Linked DNA regions of Diceros bicornis minor. The protein of the gene in region 2 purifies or fractionates together with the protein of the main gene of each other region. This does not show direct contact. Links are inferred from orthologs where the notes say so. Each region holds a gene or a part of one and is shown on either strand. Other genes may lie near its edges.

Evidence for each region.
Region 1: the proteins of CDH2 (region 2) and JUP purify together in Homo sapiens (co-immunoprecipitation; 4 studies listed by BioGRID and IntAct, with this or other methods). This does not show direct contact. The link is inferred for Diceros bicornis minor from reciprocal best matches to the Homo sapiens genes CDH2 and JUP.
Region 3: the proteins of CDH2 (region 2) and CTNND1 purify together in Homo sapiens (affinity purification with western blotting; 6 studies listed by BioGRID and IntAct, with this or other methods). This does not show direct contact. The link is inferred for Diceros bicornis minor from reciprocal best matches to the Homo sapiens genes CDH2 and CTNND1.

Annotation. Positions count from the first base shown.
Region 1 is NC_080757.1:41,065,610-41,073,601, reverse strand, and holds the start of JUP (junction plakoglobin), read left to right. Parts: upstream 1-4,974; 5' UTR 4,975-5,081; intron 5,082-5,088; exon of another isoform or gene 5,089-5,167; intron 5,168-7,992. UniProt on the Homo sapiens protein: Common junctional plaque protein. The membrane-associated plaques are architectural elements in an important strategic position to influence the arrangement and function of both the cytoskeleton and the cells within the tissue.
Region 2 is NC_080755.1:23,174,438-23,182,137, reverse strand, and holds the start of CDH2 (cadherin-2), read left to right. Parts: upstream 1-4,677; 5' UTR 4,678-4,678; coding exon 4,679-4,738; intron 4,739-7,700. UniProt on the Homo sapiens protein: Calcium-dependent cell adhesion protein; preferentially mediates homotypic cell-cell adhesion by dimerization with a CDH2 chain from another cell. Cadherins may thus contribute to the sorting of heterogeneous cell types.
Region 3 is NC_080770.1:16,229,088-16,236,384, reverse strand, and holds the start of CTNND1 (catenin delta-1), read left to right. Parts: upstream 1-4,217; 5' UTR 4,218-4,437; intron 4,438-4,977; exon of another isoform or gene 4,978-5,044; intron 5,045-7,297. UniProt on the Homo sapiens protein: Key regulator of cell-cell adhesion that associates with and regulates the cell adhesion properties of both C-, E- and N-cadherins, being critical for their surface stability.

The DNA.
Region 1 (7,992 bases), on a different chromosome or scaffold from region 2:
GCAGCAAAGTGTGGCTGGAGCTACCTCTGTAATTAAGAGCCCTCCCTGCTGGCTGGGCACTCACCCACAGGACCAGGCCGTGGGCAGCCTCTGGCTTCGAGGCTCCTCCCCTGGACAAAGGGCAGCAAAAAACCGGAGAAGCACCCCTCCTCCAGGCCTCGCACCAGCCCACCTCGCTCTTGCTCCTGCAAGGCTTGGGCCCCTCCAGCCAGAAGAGTTTGGGAGCCTGGAGGCTCTTCTGCAGCCAGTGTCATCTCCCCAGCCCTGAAGGGGTCACCCCGAGCAAGTCACCCCCAACTCCAGGGGACAGGGGCAGGCGTGCAAATGGAGGTCCACATACTGTAGTCCAAAAAGTTACATACAAATCAAGCACACAAACTGTTAAATAAGCTATACCTTGATAAGTACAACTTCACAATGACCTGAGAGGCCAGGATGGAACTGAGACTTCTCAGACTCCTCAGAACATGGCAGCCCGGGGATAACCGTCCCCAGGCCTCCAGCCCCTGGGCCATCTCCCCGTCCCTTCGAACCCCTGGGTCCCCCACACCACAAAGGGCCTCCAGCACATGCGTGTAGATACCCCAGCTTGCATATCTGTGCTGTGTCCACCCGTCCCCATAACTGCCCTTGTCACCACTTTGCCTGTGTGTGCTTGTACGACGGGCGGTGCTGCTGTCCTCGGGAGGGGAGGAAGGGCCGGAGTGAGAGACCCCAGGCCCTAGAAGCGGGGTCACTGCTGGGCAAGGAATTTCAGGGTTTCCGCCACCCGGAGTGTGGTCTTGAAGGGGAGAGCCATGAACTCTGTATAGGCTTGTTCCTTTGGCCCTGTGTGGAGGGCACAACCGCAGGAGGGCTGGAGTGGGGCCTTCTGAGGGATAGGACCCAACACAGAGGCCCCTTTCCCAGGTCCACGGGTGGCTCTGCCCCGGGGCTGAGAGCCGGCCTGTGCTCAAGATGCCTCTTCCTTTTCTTATTGCCTTTGATTCCAGCCTGCCACGTGGGAAGCGACAACTCCCGGTTGTCGCTCTCCTTTCCCGCTGCTGTAACTAACGCCAGGGGAGAGGGAGCTGCTGTGTGATGAAGAGGGACCATTGTCAGCCTGAAGTTTAGCAACCCGTCTCTTCACCCCAGTCTCCCTTGATAGAGATGACCATCCCTGAGGCCACCCTAGAGGAAGAGGAGGGATGAAGGGTGTGTGTGTGTGTGTGTGTGTGTGTGTGTGTGTGTGTATTTGTCTGTTGGGGAGAAAGCGTTGATGCGTCTGGTGTTTGCGTATCTGAATCTGTGCCCATGAGTGTATATCCCTGAGGTGTGAGCACGGAAGGTTGTGTGTGTTTGTGTGTGTGGCTTGTGCAGATCTAAATCTCCTCAGCCTCTGTCTGGGGAAGGGACCCCACAGAGAAAGGGCCAAGTTTGAACAGACAACAGAAACTCTTACCTCCTTATATGGCCCAGAGGCCTCCTGGCGGGGAGGGGAAGTGAGATGAGCCTGGAGGGCACTGGGCTGTTGTTCACCTTCCCTCAGGAAAGCGCCTGCCCATCCCCCACCAGCTCCCCTCCCTCCCAACAGCCCCTCCTTGGACCCCTCTTTGCTAGTAGCTTCTGTCTCTGGGACAGCTTGGGATGGGCCACTGGGTGCTCTTTCCTTCTTTACTTGAGGCCCCAGAAATCTGCAATGTTGAATTAACCATATGTGATCTTGACGGCCCAAGGACGCTGCTTCCACTGAGCTCTGGGCAAGAGAAATGAGTTTAAATTGCAGCAATACAAATTGAGGCTAGACATCAGAAGGAACTTACCAGTGTTAGGATAAGGAGACAAGGACATTCATATATGGGAGGCTGGAGACTCTCCTTTCCTGGAGATTTGTCAAACAGAGAAATCCCTGCCTTCAAAGGCTTGGAGGCAGGGGACTGGGTAAGATGGTCTTGTGGCCTTTCCTTCAAGCTCTAGTCATAGAGGAGACTGCTGCACAGCGACTCTCATCCCCATCCCTAGGCACCTCCTTGCCCTGTGAGACCAAATCCCCTACACAGACAGCTGATTCTGGTCAACATCATTTTCTGTATCCTACAGATGAATCCTCAGTGCCTGGCAGGCACGTAGTAGGTGCTTCATAAATGTGCAGAAAACCCCTTGATCTGGGCGGAGAGACACAGCTGTCATCCCAATCTTTCCTACTGCTGCCGCGGTGCCTCCACCCAGTCCCAGCCTGAGCGCTTAGTTTGGGGCAAGCATGTTGCAGCATGTTCCAGGCTGACAAGCAGGGAACATTCTGGGGAGACACACACACACACACACACACACACACACACACACACACACATGCACATAGGCTTTATTCTGAAGCCTTATTTCTGCCCCTCCACCCGATCCAGGTTCCTCCACCCCTCTGCAGCCAACCAGCCCTGCCCTGCCCGTATGCGGAAGTCAGGAGAAAGGAAGGAGTTGAGCCAGGCTTGAGTCTGGGAAGTGTGTGTGTGTGTGTGTGTGTGTGTGTGTGTGTGTGTGTGTGTAGGCAGGGGAGGGTGTGGGAAGGTGGGAAGTGGGCAAGGGAAGGTGGGAAGTGGAAGAGGGAGGAAGTGAAACCCTGGCGACGGCAGCAGCCTAGGATTTCGAGCTCCTTTCCCCCCAAGCTGGGGGCTGGCCACTGCACAGTGTGGCAGGGTGCTGAGCAGGTGGGTGGGGCAGGGGTAAGGTATGGAGAAAGATACTGAGTAAGCTGGAGGAGGGGGAGGAAGGGAAATGAAGCACAGGGCAGTGGCACGTGGGATGGTACCTGGTTAGGGATGTTGATGTCTCCCTGCCCCCTCCAGGAAGACCTCTTGGATGGCACAAGCCTCAGAAGTGCGACTGTTTGGCCATCATTGCAACTGTTTAGCCATCATTGCTTTCTCTGGTGGGGAAAGCGGTCAAGGATGCTGCAGGGCTTCCTTCACCCAGCCCACCTGTGTGCGAGCTTTGGGGCTATAATGCTTCTTTGAGGGAGGACCCTTTCCCGAACAACCCCTCTCCCTACACACACACACACAGAGCGGCTGAGGTGACCTGTTTACACTTAGCCCTCTGGAGCCCTTTGAGGGTTGGGATCATTTTGATTTTCCATGTTACCAGTGCCTAACCCAGTGCCTTGCATACAGTTGGTGCTCTATTGATGAATGAATGTCTGTAGGACCCCTGGCACACTGTACTGCCACCAGCAGGCACTCATTTCATCAGCCACAGAAAGAGAAGACTCTTATCTTCTTAAGCTGCCTATTGGGAAGTTCTTTCTTTCTTTCTTTCTTTCTTTTTTTGTGAGGAAGATCAGCCCTGAGCTAACATCCATGCCAATCTTCCTCTTTTTTTTGCTGAGGAAGATCGGCCCTGAGCTAACATTTATTGCCAATCCTCCTCCTTTTTTTTTTTTTTTCCTTTTCTCCCCAAAGCCCCAGTAGATAGTTGTATGTTATAGTTGCACATCCTGCCAGTTGCTGTATGTGGGACGTGGCCTCAGCATGGCCGGAGAAGCAGTGTGTCGGTGCGCACCTGGGATCCGAACCCGGGCCGCCAGTAGTGGAGCACGCGCACTTAACCGCTAAGCCACGGGGCCGGCCCCGGACGTTCTTTCTGATAACTAACCCAGACTCTTCCACTACTGAGGGGCCTGCTGCCCCATTTCTTTTAGGCAGTGTTGATTTCCTTGCTGCCTGATTTCTTCCAAACCCACCAATACTTTCTCAGTCTTTGTCCCTTTCACAGGGATTTCTCTGTTTGACAAATCTCCAGGAAAGGAGAGTCTCCAGCCTCCCATATATGAATGTCCTTGTCTCCTTATCCTAACACTGGTAAGTTCCTTCTGATGTCTAGCCTCAATTTGTCCCTTTGTCCCAAATCACTACTCTTCTGTCTCTCCCCGGAATTTGTTTTTGCCTTTTCCCCGGCCCCTCCCCACTGCTTTGACATTTTATGTCGGTGCTATATTCCACCAGGAGAACATGTAGTTTGGTGAGCCTTGAAATGAGAAGAAAGGGGTTCTAGTTTAGGATGTGCCACTTTCTAGTTTTGTGACCTCTCTGAACCTCAGTTTCCTCATCTTTGAAATGACAATCATTTTGTTGTCCTAACAATTTTTCAGAACTGTCACGAGAATTAAAAAAAAAGTCATTAATTTAAATTGTAACATTTAGCAATTGTCCAAGTGATTTCACAAACTTTACTTCATTTCATCCCCACATACTCCCTTGAGAGAGAGATATAGCCAATGTACCCATTTTACAGAGGAGGAGAAACAGGGTGAGATGAAGTAACTTGCCTAAGATCATATAGCTCCTAAGTGGCAGAACCCAAACTCAGGCCTTCTGATTCTAAATCTCAGGAGCATTCCATCTTTCAGGAAAAAATTCCCAAACCAGCTAATAGCCTATGAAGTGCTATACAAACATCTTATTACCACTTTGTGGCAAGGGTGAATAAGCCCAAAGAAGCATTATTCCTGACGCTGAGCTGGCTGGCTGGTGAAAGCGTCTGTCCTTTCCCATGGCGCCTCCTGACTCACCTGTTGGACAGGTAGGGGGAAGGGGAGAGTAATGAGTCTTACCTGCTCAGAGCTAGGGTGGGGCAAGACACACCCCATCCCTCCCATTGGTTCTTTCCTTAGTCTTACTGACGACACCTTGCCCAATCAGGAGGAAGTAACCTCCTATCTGCCAATAGGTGCGGAGTTAGGATGGAACCTCAAGTTGGAGGCCGTCCCCAGAGCCGACTGGCAGTCTCTGGTGCCAATGGCCAGAGGATAAACAGAGGTGGCGATGGAAGAGAACTGGGCGCGAGGCTCCGCCCCTCGATGGGACAGTCAAGCGAGGCAGCCAGTGAGCCCGCATCAGCGGGTGGGCGTCTCCCTCAGGGGCGGAGCTTCGAGGGGGCGAGAGGCGTGGCTTGGCTGTCAGGTCCCTTCGCCTTTTGTTCGGTTACTGAGTTGCTGCCTTGGCCAGAGTCCGGAGCAGCCGCCGCCCGAGCGCGCCGACCTCAGTTCGCCGCCCGCGCCGGCTCCCATCCCGGCCCGACCCCTGCCCAGCCCGGCCAGGCTCCACACGCAGGTGCGGACGATCGGGGCAGGTAGCGCTGGGGCGAGAGAAGGGCGGCGAGCGGCCGAGAGAGGCCAACCCCCGCCGTCTCAGGGCAGGTGAGGGCGGGTGTCAGGGAGCGCCTCCCTGCACCGGCGGCAGGGGGCGCGCTGGGGTCCTGGGCGCGGCGGCTAAAGGGGCGCGAGGTTCGGGCCGGGTGCGCTGAGGGGCTGCGTGAGCCGGAGATCTGGGAAGGGTGGAGAGGGATCAGGGCAGGTGTCTCCGGGGTCGCGCCTCCGCCGGGGCCGCGGAGCCCGCCCGACGCCGCGTCCCTGACTCTCACCCTGACTCTTGCGGGGGAGACTTTGACCTGCTCCGCCTGCGTCCCAGGGCTCACTCTGTAGTCAGGAATTTACTGTTTGAAAACTTGCTGCCGCTGGTCTCTTTGGGGCCACCCTCACCCCACCTCACGCGTCATCCTCGCTTTCCCTCCCTCCCTACTCCCCCAGGCCTGGGTGGGGCCCTATTGTCTGCGCCCGGCTTGCCCAACTGTGGGGCCGAACGCACATTTTCCAAGCGACGCGGGCCCCACCTGCCGAGCAGGTGAGCACACGGAGTCCAGAGGCTCTGCCCTCCAACTCCCGGAGCTTCGTCGGTTCTGTACCTGTGGCGCCTCCCTCCGCTCTGGTGGGTGCCGGGCTGTGGCTCCGCCAGGGGTGCTGGGATGGGATGAGAGTGGGACTGGTGCAGGGCCCGGCTCCGCGCCCAGCTGGGGTCTGGCACCAGTGGCTCGGACAGGGGTCTGGGCAGAGGGGTCGTGCATGGGTAGAGAATTCACTGGCCCAGTTTCCAGTAGATGCCGCTTCCAGAGTGTTGATATGGGAACCGGACCATTCTTCTTCTCTATCCTCTTATTGTCGGAAAAAGCACCCAAAACAAACTTTCCAGGAGGAAGTATTCACAGCAGCTTTCTCTGGGGGTTTTCCTGCCTCCTTACCCAGGGCGTCCCCCCAGGCTTACGGGGTCCATCTTGAGCAAAGCCCCCTCCCCCAGCCGGCCAGGCTGAACCAGGGCCAGTGCCTGCGCTGTGACCCTGCCTCCCCGCCCCCACTTCCATCCTGTTTGCTGGGCCCCTGGGGCCTGAGGTGGGGGCCGGGGTGGGGGGGGTGGGCCGAAAGGGGAAGCAGCTTCTTCCTTCTCTTCCTGCCTCCGGGGACCACCACACCCCCTCGCTTGAGGCCTGCGCAAGTGGCTTTCTCCCCAGCTCTGCCCCCCTCCCCAGGAATGGGGGTGGGGCAGGGCCGGGCCAAACAGACGGGGGTGGGGGGAGCGATTGTTCTTTTTTTTTTTCTCTACCCCATCCCCCACATTGTTTTGCTGGCTGGCAATTGAGGCCTAAGAGCAAAGAGCAATGTTGCTTGATTTCCATTTGCCTTCTGGATTTTGAAGGTGCATTCCTTCTGGAGGCTTTGCAGTCCATTCCCCACCCACCCCCTTTCCTGAGAGTTTGATTGGGAAAGTTGGGACAGGAGGAAGGATTCTGGGGGGAAGGTTTCAGGCAGAGCTGCATTAGCCACCCCCACCCCCCCCATTTCTTGAGAGCCCCTTCCCTGGCCAGAGTTGGGGATCTCCACCAGGCTTTCACACAGGTTTTAAGAAATCTGAAGTGTGGTCTTTTTGCAGAGATTTGGAGCCCAGCCTCCTTGAGGAACAGAGGGGGAATGTAGGAGCCAGGTTCTCCCTGAGTCCTGGGGTGAAGGGAAGACTTGGGGGGAAATTGGGGCTGCTTGCCCTGACTCACTTGGGAAGACCCTGTGGCCTCTTTGGTGGTTGGAGATGGGAGAGTGGGGGCAAAGGTCAGCCCCACTCCTATGATGTGCCCCTGGGCAGGGATCAGGCCCTACTCTGGGTTAGGGGGAGACTGAGGAGAGAACCCCCTCCCTCTTCTGCTCTAGTGGGTGGGGTACCTCTGGGGAGCCACAAGGGTATGGAGTTTGGGCAAAAATAACCTGTTTTCCCTCCTCTGTGCCAAAGTGGAGGAGGGGAAGGCATTGTAATTACATTGGTTAAATGATTAGTTTAGCTAATCTGGTTTGTGGCTGTGATGAAAAGACAATATTGAGGAAGCATTGCTAGGAGGTGCCTGGTGAAAGCTGGCTGCTTACTGGACAGGAGGGAGAAGGGAAAAAAAGGCAGGATCCAATTAGTCATTCCTTGCTAGATCAAGCCCCAGCTTGGGTGACTTGAGCCCTCTCCACCCCCTCCACCCTGCCCCACCCCTGCACCCCAGCTCCACCCCATTCCCTCTGGACCTTCTGCTTGGGCTGCTGGGGCTAAGGCTTTGAGAAGGCAGTGTGTGGGAATGGAGGAGATCAGGCTAGGGCTGGCAGCCATGGGACAGGTAGATGTGGGGGTGGGAGGGTGGTGGTGGTAAGGGGGCATCTCTCCCTGACCTGGGAGGGGTTGGGCAGAGGAGCCACCTTAGAATGAGATGGGGCAATTGACTCGCCTACTGAAGGGCTGTTTTTGTGGAGAGATGTTACAGTGGGGCAGTTCTGAACACTGCGATTTCGGCTTAGACTGAGCTGGGTTTGAATCCCAGCTCTGTCAGTCATTACCTGTGTGGCCTTGGTCAAGTCACTTCACCTCTCCAAGCCTCAGTGACCTCCTTGGCAGAATGGGAATAATAATACCTACCTACTCAGTAGATACTTGACACATGGTCACTTAAAAGGTGAGGGAGGACTTTACAGATACCAAGTACTTTCATTGACTGTTCTCACTTAATCCTTGTGGCTATCCCTAGAGGCGGGTGTCCTAACCCCATTCTACAGGTGAGGAAATTGAAGTTAAGTAACTTGCCCAAGGTTGCACAGCAAGACCCAAGCAGAGCCAAGACTGGTGTTTGGGTCCTCTGGCTCCAAACCTAGAGCTCATCCTGCTG
Region 2 (7,700 bases):
TACTTAATCTGTTTCATATACCCTTCTACCTTCCAGAAAGGGATTCTTTTTCTTTTTTCTTTTTTTTTTTGGTGATGTTCCTTGTAATACAGAGGCTGCTTGTGAATTACTTCCCTCATCATGCAGATTTATAACTCATTCACTCACTTACCTGACCGTATGTACTTCCAGTTACTTACTTGGTTATATTCTCCATGAAAACACTGAGTTTGACTTTCAAAGAAATAAAAGGTAAATAATATCTGCAAATAAGAGTGGATTAAAAAACAGCCAGGTTTTTCTTCTAGTATTGGAACAGATCATGACTTCTCTTGTTGAGTACCAGATGAACTGAATGGCTGGCTTGTGCTTAGCAGCCAGCCTGTATCAAAGGTATGGATCATGAAATGCCAGAATCACACTAAATACGGCGAGATGATCACACCGAGAAAGGCATGTGAGAACTGAGATCAGCAGAAAGAGAAGCTGAGTTATGTCTCCTGTCTCACACATACTCTGAAGAGGAAAATACCTGAGAGCAACAGCAAATCCCCAGAATCATTAAATTTCTTTTTCTTTTTTTTTAAACTTCCCTTTCATTCCACATAGTTGAATTTTCTAAAGTTAAAGAGACTCCCTAGAATAACATAAAGAGTCTAGGTAAGACTGGGAGTAAGAGAGCCTGTGCCCCATTGGGGTTCCCTATGTCCCAGCTAGTAGCCTTGTGTACCTCTTCAAGCCTCAGTGTTCCTATAAAATGAGAGGGTTGCAGAGACCATCTTTAAGTTTTGTTTTGAACATTCCATACTCTATAAAAGGGATATTACCCAGGGAAGTTCAGTTTTATTACACTAAAGCTAATTGGGGAGAACCTTGCAACGTGAGGGATGCTTCCTAAGGGAGAAGGGACAATCCTAGCTTGCCCTGGAGGTTGGGAGAGAAGGAGGAAGAGTGGAGGAGGTCTTGAACATTCGGGAAGGACACTTAGATGGGTGTCAGAGCTCAACACAAGTGAGGTTCCTGCCTTGCAGCTCTGTGGGGGGAGGTGGGGGTGCGTGGGAAGTGTATGCCACAGACAGACGATTACTGTTCCCCATTTGCTAAGTGAGGACCCTTTTATACAAACACTCACGTGATGCATTTGTATGTTTAGCACCTCTTGTTTGAGAAAACACACCAAAACAAAAATTTATTATGGTTTTACTTTGAAATGAATGTTTAAAAATGAATCATCATGGCATCTACATACATATGAAAACTGGCTATGTGTGCAAGAGACATCATTTATGCAGTCTATCCACAATGCTTGGTGCACAGATTCATTTACAGACCTCCCTTAGTAAACCAGCAGCAGCGCACAGGTCAGAAATCAAGTGATTAGACTGATTTTTGGTGTATGAGCCCACCCTTAGTTTTTATGATTATTTTTCTTGTCTTCCCCCCCTTTTCCCACCACCTGGCTGTTTCTCTGGGTCACTGTCAAGCCCCCTGCAGCCCTAGAGCTCTGCAGGCTGATGGAAAGTTAATCCTCAGACTGGTGACGCTTTGAGCAGAGGCTGAAAATCTGACAGTTTGGTCACCACTTGCCCAGAGGAAGGAATGTCTCCATTAGATTAAGTATAGTGCAATGAAGGTACAGCTCTGTGGGGTGCCAAAGTTAACACTAGATCTACATTTATTAACATCAAATGGATGCACAAAGTCTCCAATAACATGATTTTAGACTGGGCTACTCCTTGAGATAAAAGGTAGATTAGCAAGATTTGGCTGACCACATGCTCAGGTTAAACTCAGGCAAGATTCCAAGCAATTCATAACCATTGAAGAGTAAGAGGCATGCAAGTTGAACTAAAAAATAAAAATCTGCAAGTGCTTACTTACCTGTATGATCAAAAACTATTGGAATCAGAGAATTAGTTGACTGACAGGCATTCCAAAGCAGATTTTGAAATCATAATAAGAGTTTAATTTATAAGGGGGTGGATGTTTAAAGCTTCAAGCAAATAATACTAACAAGCAATAGTTATTCATGCTGAAATCTGTCCTATCTTTAAATTAATCAGAATGGCAATAAACATCAACGGCTACTGCTGGCAGTGGTGAGGATGTAACTGAGGCCTTACATCCGGGATCACAGCTTAATTCTTAGGCATGGACATGGGATCTGTAAATTCCGCTTTGGAAATCAACAAACAACATCCCCATAGTGCTACCAAATGTTTTACTATTATGCATGACTCCTTGAAAGTGGAATTTATAAATACTCTCTTGCAAGGAGAACTTTTAGGTGGATTAGCCATAGAGTGACAATAACATCCAGCAAAGGAGAGAAAGAGAAAGATCAAGTGGAGCCTTTGTCTTTAAATTTAATTAATATGACCTTCCTTATTCTTTGGAGAAGAAAATCCAGAAAAATTTTTTGTTTCATTAAAAAAATGGCCTACGATATTATGTTTTAATTAAAATTAAGTTTCCCTATGAATATTAAATTTTTTAAAGCCTCACCAGCAATAGTACATTATTAAAAGCCGCATCACTTATGTCAAAGAAATTTGTACTAGATTTTTAGAAATTCATCATCAGGTTCTTAAATGATTAGTATCCTGAATCTCAAAGTCAAATAATGTTAATACTTCAGTTACCCAGAGCAGAAGAGCAACGTTCATTAACCGCAACGAAGTTCGATGACCTCCAAAACGTTGAAACGCTTAGCTAAAACCGGTATTTTTATCTACCTGTAAAATCTAAAAAAAAAAAAAGGGTTCTGGAAAAAATTTATTACCTTGCCAAAATCAATAGCTCCTCATCCCTCCCCCATTCCACAAATGCTTATGACCCAAACTTTTCGTAGTCTCTCACTTTTTGTTTCACTCCAAGTTCATGCCTTAAAAGGAGGGAGCAAAAGTCCTTTACTTGGCGCAAACTCTGTACCAGTTATTTTATCCTTTAGATAACCTTATTATCACAGCGAGTTCTGGCTTTAGGTTCTTTCTTTCTTTCTTTCTTTTGTGGTGGTGTCATTGTTGGGGGTGGTGTACGGAGGAAGTCAAAGTCCCCGAAACTGCTAAAATATGTGAACAGTACTACTAACGAGTAGAAATTAAAACGAGTGATTTCAAATAAAATAACACATACTCTCAAACTCCCAGAGGGGACCAAAGAAAATATAAAAACACAAAAACTTGGGCTGTTCCAGTACATCTGCAAAAGTGGGAGAGGTGGGAGCGCCCACGAGAAGCGGTGGCCTCCGCCCGCCCGGGCCCGCAGGTGGCTCGGGGAAAGCGCCTCAGACAACAATGGCCAGGATGGGCTTTGCCTGCGTCGCTAGTTTGCTGCGTCTGTCCCTGCCCGAAAAATAATCTATTTCCAAAAAATGACAAAACAGAAAATAGAGCCTGCGTTAGGCTACCAAGGAGGCAGTCCCCCCAATTCTTAATCTCGGATTCCCCATCGCGGTCCAGAGACGAACCTGCCACCAATCATCAAGTTCCTGCGCAAGTTATTTTATTTCCCGCAGCCCTTCCACCTGCCGAGGCGGAGCTCCGCGCACCCCTGGCTTCCCTCCGGCGACCCCCCGCGGGCTGCAGCAAAAACGGGGCGCTTCGGCGGGGCGGGGTCGGGGGCGGGCGGCTGCCTGGGATCCGGCCGGCTACCGCCGCAGCTTGGTGGCCTGCGATTGGCCACGACGCGGGCGGGGAGGGAGGCGGGGGCGAGGGCGGCGGCGGCGGGAGGGGAGAGGAGAGCGGAGCGGGCCGCGCGACCCCGCAGCGCGTGCGGCGAGCGCGGGCAGAGCGGCGGCGGCGGCGGCGGCAGCGGCTAGCCCTGGTCGCGCTCGCAGAGGCCGAGCGCGGAGCGCGGTGCGCGGGCGGGGGTGGGGCTGCGCGCGCGCCGGTGAGCGGCGCGGGGACAGCACCGGCGGGAGGTGTCAGCGCGCAGGCAGCAGGGGCGGCCGCGGCGGCAGCTGCGCGGGACGGAGCCGCGGGGGTAGCGGCCCCGTCGGCCCCTGGCCTCACCCCCGCGCGGCCAAGGCCGGAGAACAATCTTCAACTCTCCGGGAGCGGCAAGGAGAGCCGAGAAGCGGCCCTCAGCTCCCGCGCAGCGGGACTACTGCCCTTTGTGGGCCAGCGCGCACGGCCCGGAGCGCCCTCCCCGGCGTCTTCGTCGTGCCAAGCGGCCCTGGAGACGGGACCCGGAGGAAGCAAAACCAGGAGCCCGAAACCTCGCGTTGCGGAGCTCCTGGGGAGCGCCATCCGCTCCACTTCCACCTCCGCATCCTACACCGGCCAAGGTCCCCGCCGCCTGCATCCCTCCCGGCTTCCGCTGCGCTTGGGGCCGGAGCGAAGCCGCCTGCGCTGCCACAGCGGCCGCCTACACACTACAGACACACACACACACACTCTCTCTCTCTCACACACACCCTCACACGCACGCCCGCCCCCTCCTCCGCCCCCTCCCCAGCTCCTTGATCTCTCGCTCTGTTTTATTACTCCTGGTGCGAGTCGCGGACTCCGCGGCCCGCTATTTGTCATCAGCTCTCTCTCCATTGGCGGGGAGAGGAGAGCAGTGGAGAAGGGGGTGGGGTGGGGAGGGAAAGGGAAGGGGGTGGAAACTGCCTCGAGCCGTCTCTCCGCGCCGCTGTTGGTGCTGCCGCTGCTGCTGCCGCCGCCTCCGGCTCCTCGCTTGGCCCCTCTCCGCCTCCATGTGCCGGATAGTGGGAGCGCCGCGGACCCTGCTGCCGCTGCTGGCGGCCCTGCTTCAGGTACGCGGCGGTCCCCGCGGGCCGGGCCGCGGACGGGGTGGGGCGGGCGGCGCCGGGTCCCTTTGTTCCCCGCGCCGCTGCGGGGCCGGGCTGCGCACCCGGGAAGGGAGGTGCCGCACCGCGCGGCCGGGGGAGCTGCGCAGGCACGAGGCTCGGCCCGGGCGCAGGAGCAGGGCTGCTGGGGCCAGCTGGTCTCGCGCGCCTCTCTTTGCGGGTCCTGAAGGGGCCGATCGCTGGCCCCCTTTGCCCTTCCTGCGGGGTCGGGCGAGCTCGCGGGTGGCGTCTCCACGCAGCAGAAGGATGAGGCAGGATAGCACCCCGGTTTTGCAGCTTTCTACGCTTCTCGCTCCTTGCATTGCACTTTGCTCCAATTTTTTTGTTTATTTCTGCAGGGATGGGTCGCGAGTTTGCAGTAGGAATTCTCACTCTGGTGTCTTAGTTACGGGACTTGCCTTCACCCCACCCCACCCTGACACCCGCGCGCCTCCCGGTGCTCGAGGGCTCCACTGTCCTATTGTCTTGACCCTAGCACAGAGTTGCCTCCTGTTCTTGTTCTCTTGCCTCACAATTTTCTTTGTCGGTTCCACCTGGAGGAAAAACCTCGCCCCCTTGTCCCGAAGAGTCTTTGCGGGCCGGCACCTCCACACCCAGCCCCCGGCCCTGCGCGCCCCTTATCCCGCCGGGCCGGGAGAAGTTCCGTTACTCGGCTATTATTCCTCTCCCTCTGTCCGGCTGCTTCTGTCCTGCGTGCGCCCTGGGGGCGCCTTCCCCAGGAGCCTCCGCACTTTTCACGCCTTCGAGAGAGCGCCAGACGGCCCTTTCATGGGATCTGTGCTAGAGGCTCCTCCGCGGCAGGAAGCACCTGCTCCAGGCAGGTCGGAGGCTCCCTCGCCACCCCGCGCCGCCGGTCCCCAGCCCGGCCGACCGCCCAACTTTCCCGCGGCGTCCGGCCAGAGGATGCCCGAGGCCCCTCCTGGCCAACGAGCAGGGTCCCAGGGAGCGACGCCGCGCGCATCAGCCGCGACCCTCGCGCTGGGCGAGTGCCGGGCGGGGGTCCTGAATCTGACCCCGCGGGCAAGTGGGGTCCCAAAGCGGCTGCAGGAGAGGGGCGTGTCCGCCCTCATTGCGGGACAGGGTCTCCCGGGAAATCCGCCCGAGGGGCTCCCTGCGCACCGCCGGCGGCTGGGGGTGGCCAGCTGGTGGCAGTCCCGAAAAGTGCGGGCGCGGCTCGGAAGTGCCGCTGCGCCGGGGGCGGCCGGGGCTGGGACAGATGGTGCGGATCGCCTCCCTCCATGGTCTTCACGGGTCAAAGCCTGGCGCGCTCCGGCCGGAGGGGGGCCTGCGGGCGCCGGGGGCGGGACGGGGCCGGCGCCCGCGGTCTCTCCGTCCCTCTCCCGCCGCCCCCTAGAGGGGTGTGGGCCGCGGCCGCGCCGAGCCCTGTCCATGGTGCGCCGTGGAGCGGCGCGTCGGGCCCTGCCCGGCTCCGCGCTCTCCTCCCCCGGGTCGTGCTCTCCCACTTTCCGGCTCTCTCCTTCCCACTGCCTCTGTAACCGCCCGTAATTCCTTTCTCCTTTCTTGGGTTTCTCCTTTTGTTCTTTCGTCTCCTGCTGGTCTTTCTCTTTCCCCTTCCCCCACTCGCCCGTCCTCCCCGCTCGGCTCTCTCCTGACTCTGGGGTTTCAAAACTATTCGAGTGGACATTTTTGGCCTCCGCAGTTTTGGGGAGTGGATGGAATTTCTTCTAACTTGGGGGAGGAGACCTGTCAGTCACTTGCTAACAAAAGCACCTCCTGTTATAAAACCGTCCTTTATTCTGGGAGCGCGCACTCTCATTCTTTCACCTCCTGTCACTTCATTTATTGTTTCTTCTTTTAAAATGGGGTTTATTAAAGAGGTTAGGCTGAAGGGGAAGAGGGATAAAAAAGCGCCTTCAAGTGTTTGGAGTTAAGAGAAAGGCAAGATAAACTCAAGAATCCTGTGGACATCAGATATATATATATTTTTAAACAAAGGAAATATAGATCAAAAAATCTTATTTTTAAAAACATTATTTTTTGAACAACAGTGAGTGGTCTTGCTTATTTACAGACAGCTTAAAATACATCCTCAGAGTGTGAGCCTAACAGTAGATGGTATGTTCACTAACTTGATGGGAAAGTAAGTTTTAATTGAATACCGTGTACTGAAGTTAGGCCAGGAGGAGACAGCTTTTGGTCATTAATAACCGTGGTGCTACTGGAACAATCTCATTTCCTCTTTTAGTCATTTGCTTTGAAATCAGGTGTGCATTTTGTAGGTCATTTTCTTTTTTTCCTTACGCATTTTTAAAAATATCATTTATAAACGTCAGATACCATGCTTATCTTTCCCACTGTACGTTCTTTCTCAGTTTCTTCTAGATCTATGTTATGTTGACTTTTATACACCTTCAGGAAAGGGGAAATTATAACTTTGTCATCAAGTTGTTTGGCAGTCTTCTAATTCCTGGGTGCAAGTCAAGCGATGAAGTTGAATGATTTGCAAGGTCATTAGGAGTGAAAGCAGAGGAGTTTATGCAACATCAGTTTTGGGGTTACCTGCACCCATGTCGTTTGTACAGCTGAGATTGGAAATGACTTTGTGCTAATGGTCTGCCTTACACACCAGAATAGCAAAGATCTATCTGCAAGGTGAAATGGCCCTTCTGCAGTCGTCTGCTATTGAAAGTCTAGTTTTTTTCAGGCTGGACTCAAGAACCAAGAGTTTTAGAAAAGAGAGTGAGTAGGCTATTAGTGTAGATACAGAGCAACTTTATTTTTTCAGGCTAGTTAAAGAAGAATAACTGAGTATTCAGAAGGACTTTTTATGCCTTTAGTTAACGGAAGTGTTCCTTGCTTTGCTTTGAACTTTTTTTTCATTTTGAGAGAGATTCTTTACTAGTTTAGTTATTCTATTATCTAGATTTACATAATTCTAGTCAATTTT
Region 3 (7,297 bases), on a different chromosome or scaffold from region 2:
ACACACACAGAGACACAAGCAAGCAAGCCAAAAAAAAAGAACAGAAGGCAGAACAACGCTTGTTTATGGCGTCTGTTGCTGTGGAATCAAGACTTGATTAGGCAGGTGGAGTACCAGCATAGGTGATTCTGTGGCCTTGTAAGGAAAATATAAATATTATATCCCCTTGTGAATATTATTGTTGTCAGGATTAGATTAATTTTCAAGAAGTGGAGAGGACTCACTTTTTTTTTCTTAATCCAACACCATTTTAGTTAAATCTTGTGTTAGTAGAATTTGTAAAGGGAATGATAAATGGCCATCCTACCCAGGGCTTCCAAAATGACAAACTTCAGGGGCTGGCCCAGTGGTGTAGTGGTTAAGTTTGCGTACTCAGCTTCGGCGGCCTGGGGTTCTCAGGTTTGGATCCCGGGTGCGGACCTACAGACTGCTCATCAAGCCATGGCGTGGTGGTGTCCCACATATAAAATAGAGGAAGACTGGGGGCCGGCCCAGTGGCCTAGCGGTTAAGTTCGTGTGCTCTGCTTCGGTGGCCTGGGGCTCGCAGGTTCAGATCCCGGGCGTGGACCTGTGCACTGCTCATCAGGCCATACTGTGGCAGGCGTCCCACATAAAAAAAGTAGAGGAAGATGGGCACGTAGGCCGGCCCTGTGGCTTAGCGGTTAAGTGTGCGTGCTCTGCTACTGGTGGCCAGGGTTCGGATCCTGGGTGCACACCATTGCACTGCTTCTCCAGCCATGCTGAGTCTGAGTCCCACATACAACAACTAGAAGGATGTGCAACTATGACATACAACTATCTACTGGGGCTTTGGGGAAAAAACAAAAATAAACCTTTGTTAAAAAAAAACAACAAAAAAAGATGGGCATGGATGTTAGCCCAGGGCCAATCTTCCTCAGCAAAAAGAGGAGGATTGGCAACAGATGTTAGCTCAGGGTTAATCTTCCTCACCAAAAAAAAAAAATGGAGAAAGATTGGCATAGATGTTAGCTCAAGGATAGTTTTCCTCAAGCAAAAAGAGGAGGATTGGCAACAGATGTTAGCTCAGGGCTAATCTTCCTCACCAAAAAAAAAAAAAAAATAGATGAAGATTGGCATAGATGTTAGCTCAAGAGTAGTTTTCCTCGAGCAAAAAGAGGAGGATTGGCAACAGATGTTAGCTCAGGACCAATCTTGCTCACCAAACAAAAGACAACCTTGGGATGGTAATGTGTAGCCATCAGAGGGTAGAAAGGAGTGAAAATATTTTGTTTTCTTTCGTATGCATAGCCAGTATTTTTGCTGGAGTTGAATTTTGTTCATTTCTTCTCCTTGGCATTTATGGTTTTAGTCTGTTTTACAAGTAAAGTCATCACAGCACAGCACTCTGCCCTGTATAATTTTAATATTGCTTTTTTAAATACAATTTTATTTCCCAGCTCTTCCTTAATCTTTCACCATTTTATGGTGTCTTATTTTCCTTTGTGTGTAAGTGGTGATGGTTGTGGGTGGGGAGGTTAAACTTTGAGAGTTGTAAAAGCGAGCACAGAATGTAATATTCCATGCATTTAAAACAAAACAAAACAAAAAAAGAAAGGAAAAAAGGAAAGGAAAAAAAAACCCCAAAGCAGAAACCACCCTGTATCTCTAAACATAAACTCTATTGGTTGACTTCTCTCCATTTTTACTGCTACCACTGTAGTCAATTCCATGTCACTACAACTTGACCTTCAAACTAATTTCCTTGCTTTCACTCTTGCCTCCTCTTTAATCCATTTGTCACGTAAGCAGCCAGATCTTTTCAAAATGTGAGTTAGATCATGTCATTCCGCTGTTTAAAACTCGCACAGGTCTTCCTCTACCTAAGAATAAAATCGAAACTTCCTCTAACCTATAGAACCCTTCATATTCTGATTCCTGCCTGTCCCGCCCTGCTCATTACCAATAGCTCTGCTGGATCCAGTATGTTTTAGCCCCACTCTTTAGGGCTTTGGCATTAATAGTTATCATTGCTCATATGTTATCATGGTTGACTGCTTCTTACCATTCAGATTTCAACTTAAATGTCACCTCTCCTGAGAGTTTGTCCCTGATATCCAATCTACAAGTAACAAGTCATTCTCGACAGTTTGTTTTAGATCTCTCCATAGTGCTCCATCTGACATCTTATTTATAATCTCTCTCCCCCTGCTAGAATGTAGGCTTTTCGAGAGCAGGAAACTTGTCTGTCTTATTATCCTTGACATCTAGAAGAGTACCTGGCTCACAGTAGGTGCTCAAAATAACCCAAGTGGAACTAGTCTTTTTATTTTCTATTAGCTGAGTGTAAACAGTTTTTCCCTCAGTGAGTGTTAATGCTTGTGGTGCTTTATTTGGAGATAGCTGTTTCAGATAAATTTAAACAACTTTTTCACCACTGAGTTATCTTTTTTAACTTGTATATAATTTTATTTTGAATGTTACCTATAAATTCATTAATGTTAAATGACTTGTTCAGGATTACATAATTAGTAAGCCAAGAGACTTCATTCACTTATTCATATGTTGCTAAGTATGAGATATAAGGCTGAGCTCTGGGGATACAACATGAACTAGAAAGACACTGTTCATGCCTTCATGGAACGTATCTTTGGGTAGGGGAGACAGGAAAATACATACACACACATGCGCGCATGTACATGAAAAAGGAAGGCAAAATACTTGCCAGTTGTTAGTGGTGATGTGAAGGAAACAAGACCGATCCATCTCTAGTAAATCATAGAATATTCTAGAATATGGCTTTGATCTAGGAATCAGTGAATCAATGAACATTTCTTGTGCTGATTGTTTTCCTTTGGCAATTATCTTTGGCTTTTGAAATATAATAATAATAACTCAGTGAGTTTATACTATATACCATACATTGTTTTAAGAAATTTATATGTATTTCAATTCTCACAACAGTCCTGTGAGAGAGATATAGTTATTATCTCCATTTTACAGTTAAGGAAACTGAGGCACAGAGAGATTATATAATTTGTCCAAGGTCATGTAGTAGTACCCTTACTCCAGTAAGTATGCTTACAGAGGAGGAAGGTTTGAAGCCAGGCAGTCAGACTGCAGAACCTATGCTCTTAACCACTATTCTAGGTTATGAAAACTTTATGAAGATTCGTTTGGCAGTAATCTACAGGATAGATTTTAGATTTTTCAGTAAGAAAGAAGGAAATTTTCCATTCATCATTATCATCTTTATTTAGTAACCACGGAATGACCATAAAATACTAGTAGTCTTTGTCAAGCGTGAAAAAAAAATCCAATCGCTTCCTTCATGGCCTAACAGTCTAAGAACATATTAAGGGATAACTCTTAATTCAGAAAAAGAATACCTGTATAATTCTTTATTTAGGTCAGGTGTAAAAAGAGAATGTATGAACTAGATCATCTTAAGCTTGAAGTTCACAAAGAAATCACATTTTCTTGATATGAGACTTACTTATCCTTACACATGCTGTTATCTCCTCTAAATATATTCCTTGTTTATTGGATTCCATTTATTCTCCTCTATAGACCCACATTATTTTGATTTGGAGACAGAAGGGAAGACAGCGATTTTCCTCAGCAGCCCAATGGATTCAGTTTCCTTATAGTTGAAAGTATAGACACTTAAAACTGTTAACAAGTCCAGGCATTTATTTTTTTCTAATTAGCTCTAATGCAGTTAAACTAAAACAATGAAATTGAGAGTTTACCTCAGATCTCCCCTACCATCCCAATCAACACATAGTAGTCCTGTTTCTAGGCTTTCTGTCTCCTTCCCTTCCCGTCTTCCTTTGGGAAAACGCTTTGGGGTGGAAAGCAACAAACCAAATAGCAGGCAAATAAAATCAGGTCTTCTCTGTTTCCCTACCCGGAAAGGAAGAGAGAGGGAGCAAGAACCCCACCATCAAAGAGAACCAAGGCTTAGGTGTGCCATTCTAAAAAGCCCTCGTTCCTTCGGCCTGCCTGGAGCTCTGCAGCAATTCCTCAGAGATTGTATAGTCTCCACTTTAAATATAAATATATATATAAAACTTCCCCCTGTCTCTTTCTCTCCTCCTCTCTCCTTTTTTTTTTTTTTAATTTCCTATAATAAAGTTTCCTATTGGATAAAATCAGTTCCCTGATTTATGCCTGGCTCCTATTGGAAGTTCTCAGGGGCTGACATCACTTAGGAAAGCGAGGGGGTAGGGCTGCCAGATCAGTTTGTCACCACCCAGGCTCTCTAGCCTTTGGCTGGGTGCAACTTCCATTTTAGGTGTTGGATCTGAGAGAAAAAAAAAGAGAGAGGGAGAGAGAGAAAGAAGAGTAGGAAAGATCCTGAAAGGAGGAAGAGGTGGCGAAAAATCAACTACCTTGCTGGATTTGTCTTTCTCAGCACATTGACGAAGCCTTGGGTTTCTTTCTTAAAGGACTGGTTTTTAGAAGTCCACATTTGAGGTGTGTGCCTTTTTAAAAATGTGTATACAGACGGGTAAAGGAAGATAAGCCAAATCGAATTTTTGTCTTACGGTAACCAGAGGGAATTTACAAACAAGAGTCTGCTATGCTGACGGGTGACTTTTAAGCAATTACTACTTTTCCTTTCTACTTACTTTGGGGAATTTCGGTATTTTATTGTATTAAAAAAAGGTTAAAATATTTCAAGACCCAGAAACAAACTTCTAGGTCTCTCTAATATAGGGGCGATGAGTAGACTCAGAGGGGTAAGAGCAATTGTGTAAATTTACATTTTGATGTGTTCTTTTATTTTATATATTTTTTCTGGATTAAGCTAACAAACTTCTGATTTCAGAGCCCAAACCAAAAGTTGGCATGTTGCGTGTGGGTTGGGAAAGGAATTTGTCTGGGTCAGAAGCTAGTTATACAGATGGTTCTTCATATGTTTCAAAACTTTTTTTCCCCTTTTATTATTAGATTCATGGAAGTGGAAAGTTGCAGGGAGCTTTGCAGCTTAAATTGTGGTGTTTTTTTCCCCAGAGAGTTTGAACGGCCCAGATCGGTTTCAGCCTTGCTGTTCCTGGGTGGATCCCTCTTACTTTTCCAGGTGCGGTGGGTGGGAGCCTCATTCTCCTGCTAGACGTAGCCTCCTTGCTTTGCCTTATAACAGAAAACAAATGGATCCATGTTAACTGAATTGCCATTCCTTTCCTCCTTAAACTACCTTTGATTGCAAAAATTTGTGGAGGTGTTGTATGTTCAGTCTGCAAATACTACCGGTAACGTTTGGTTTCTGTGCTTAAAGGGATAAGGAAATTCTAATCATGTTTTTTAGTTCACCTTAGTAAAGTGGCAGTACACCTGAAAATATTTTCAGCTTTGTGCTTTCTGAAAGGGCTGTGGATTAAATAAGGTTAGGCCAAGAGAAAACAAACTTTAGTGTTTAGAATGCATTCGAGAAAGCACAAGGGGAATTCTTAATTTTAAACCAAACTGAAAGTTGTTTTTTGGAGGTGAGTTTTTTGTTTCGTTAATTTGCTGTGAAATCAGAAATCTGTAAGAGCTGAAGGCCCATGACTGTTGGCATATCTTATATTTCATCTTAAGATTTGTTTTGTTTTTGTTTTCGCGAATACATTCTTGCAGAAATACTGATTCTAGATAATTATATAGCCAACTCATCAGTAGCTGAAAACCGGGTGTTCTCTTCCTTCTCCCTTTGAAAATGTGAATCGGTCTGAAAATTGTAGCTGGAAAAGATGCTGCCCTAATTGTAACAAGATGGGCTTTAATATGTAAGCTACTCGTTAGCTTTAAACTGGGATGTTTCTTTAATAATCCTCTGATTTTGTGCCTCCCTCCCCCCAATTCTTTTTAGACTAGAACACTTCGTTGAATTCCTTTTCTAGAATGAAAGTATCTCTTGAAAGGTGATTTCATCTTTGTGAGGTTGTGGCTTCAGGGGAAACAGAACTTTGTTTCTCCTTTTAATCTACTATCATCTATGCAAGGGCTACAGTAAAATTTTAATGTCTGGATCTCATAATTATAGCAAGTGTAGCTAAAAAGAAAGAAAAACGACAACATGTACAGTCTGTTGGGCTGTAGTTCTTATTTAATATTTTCCAAATTTCTCTCAAATGTTCTCTCTGCCTTGACTCCAGCCTAGGGATGTTTCTTGGTGGATCTTTGGAGGGTTGGTCATGTTTCTGCCAGAGTGTCGGTTTCCCACTCAACCTTTAGGGGGAGGGATGAGGGAATCTGAAGAAGGGAGTACAAAGGCAGTTTGAAAATAGGTTCTGGATGACTGAGTGGTGGTGATTTGGGTCCAGCTTTAAATACTGGGCTTTGTGTAGCTGCAGAGAGCATCCTAGTTAACTAGCGTCCAGGAGTATTTCTGCGAACTGAGGCATTGTTTTGACTGGTGTGTACTGTGAAGGCTTTTGGATGATAAGATGGAAGATTTGTCTTCTACCTCACCTCTACTAGTTCTTTCAGGAAATATAATAAAGGACAGGAATAAGTAAATCTTTTATGTTTTGTTGTGCTCCTCATTTTAATTTTGGGGTGAAAAATGATGACAAGTAAGTATGAGTTGTGCAGATTTTTCTTTCCTTGTTTGACTCCTATATACTGTTGGTTTCTTTGTTATATGACTAAGGTAGCGGGTCTGTGTGCCAGGTGGGAGTCTCCTTTGGGTGGTTAGAATTCTAGTGCCTTTCTTAGGGTTCCAATTAGGGAGAGTCAGAGGGGCTAGAACATGTTCTCTCAGCTAGTATAAAAATTGGGGCTATTGGAGATCTTAAAAAAAAAAAAAAGCTCCGAGTAATTGCAATTCAGCCTTAGGTTTATGAGGTAGTTGCTCTCTAGGGATGGGTGAGACAGGATGGATGCAAATAAATTAAGCATAGTTCACTATTCAGTTGGAATAACAAAATGATTAGCTCTGTATAATTTATTGCTTTCTATTTTGGTACCTGATGGTCTTCTGTTACTAACTGCCAGTCCTCCCTCTCCCACCCTCCCTTGTTTTTTTTACTGTGTGCTAAGCATTTTGCATAAACTATGTACTTAATTTCCCACAACAACTGTTTTTTTTTTGGTAAGGAATTTGAGCCTTAGAGAAGCTGAGGTTCACTGAAAATCTCATTGCCTGTAAGTGGCCAAAGCTAGGATTAAACCCTGGTCTGACTAACTACCAAGTCCGTGGACATAACCACTAATACATTGCCATTCTCCAGAGAGAACAGAAACAAGAGCCAGAACTAAAATGAGCCCTTGCTAGAGGCAGGTGTTTGATCTTGGGGAGGGTCAGTCCTCACTTAGATTTCTAACCCACTCAGTGTTGGGATAATGTATG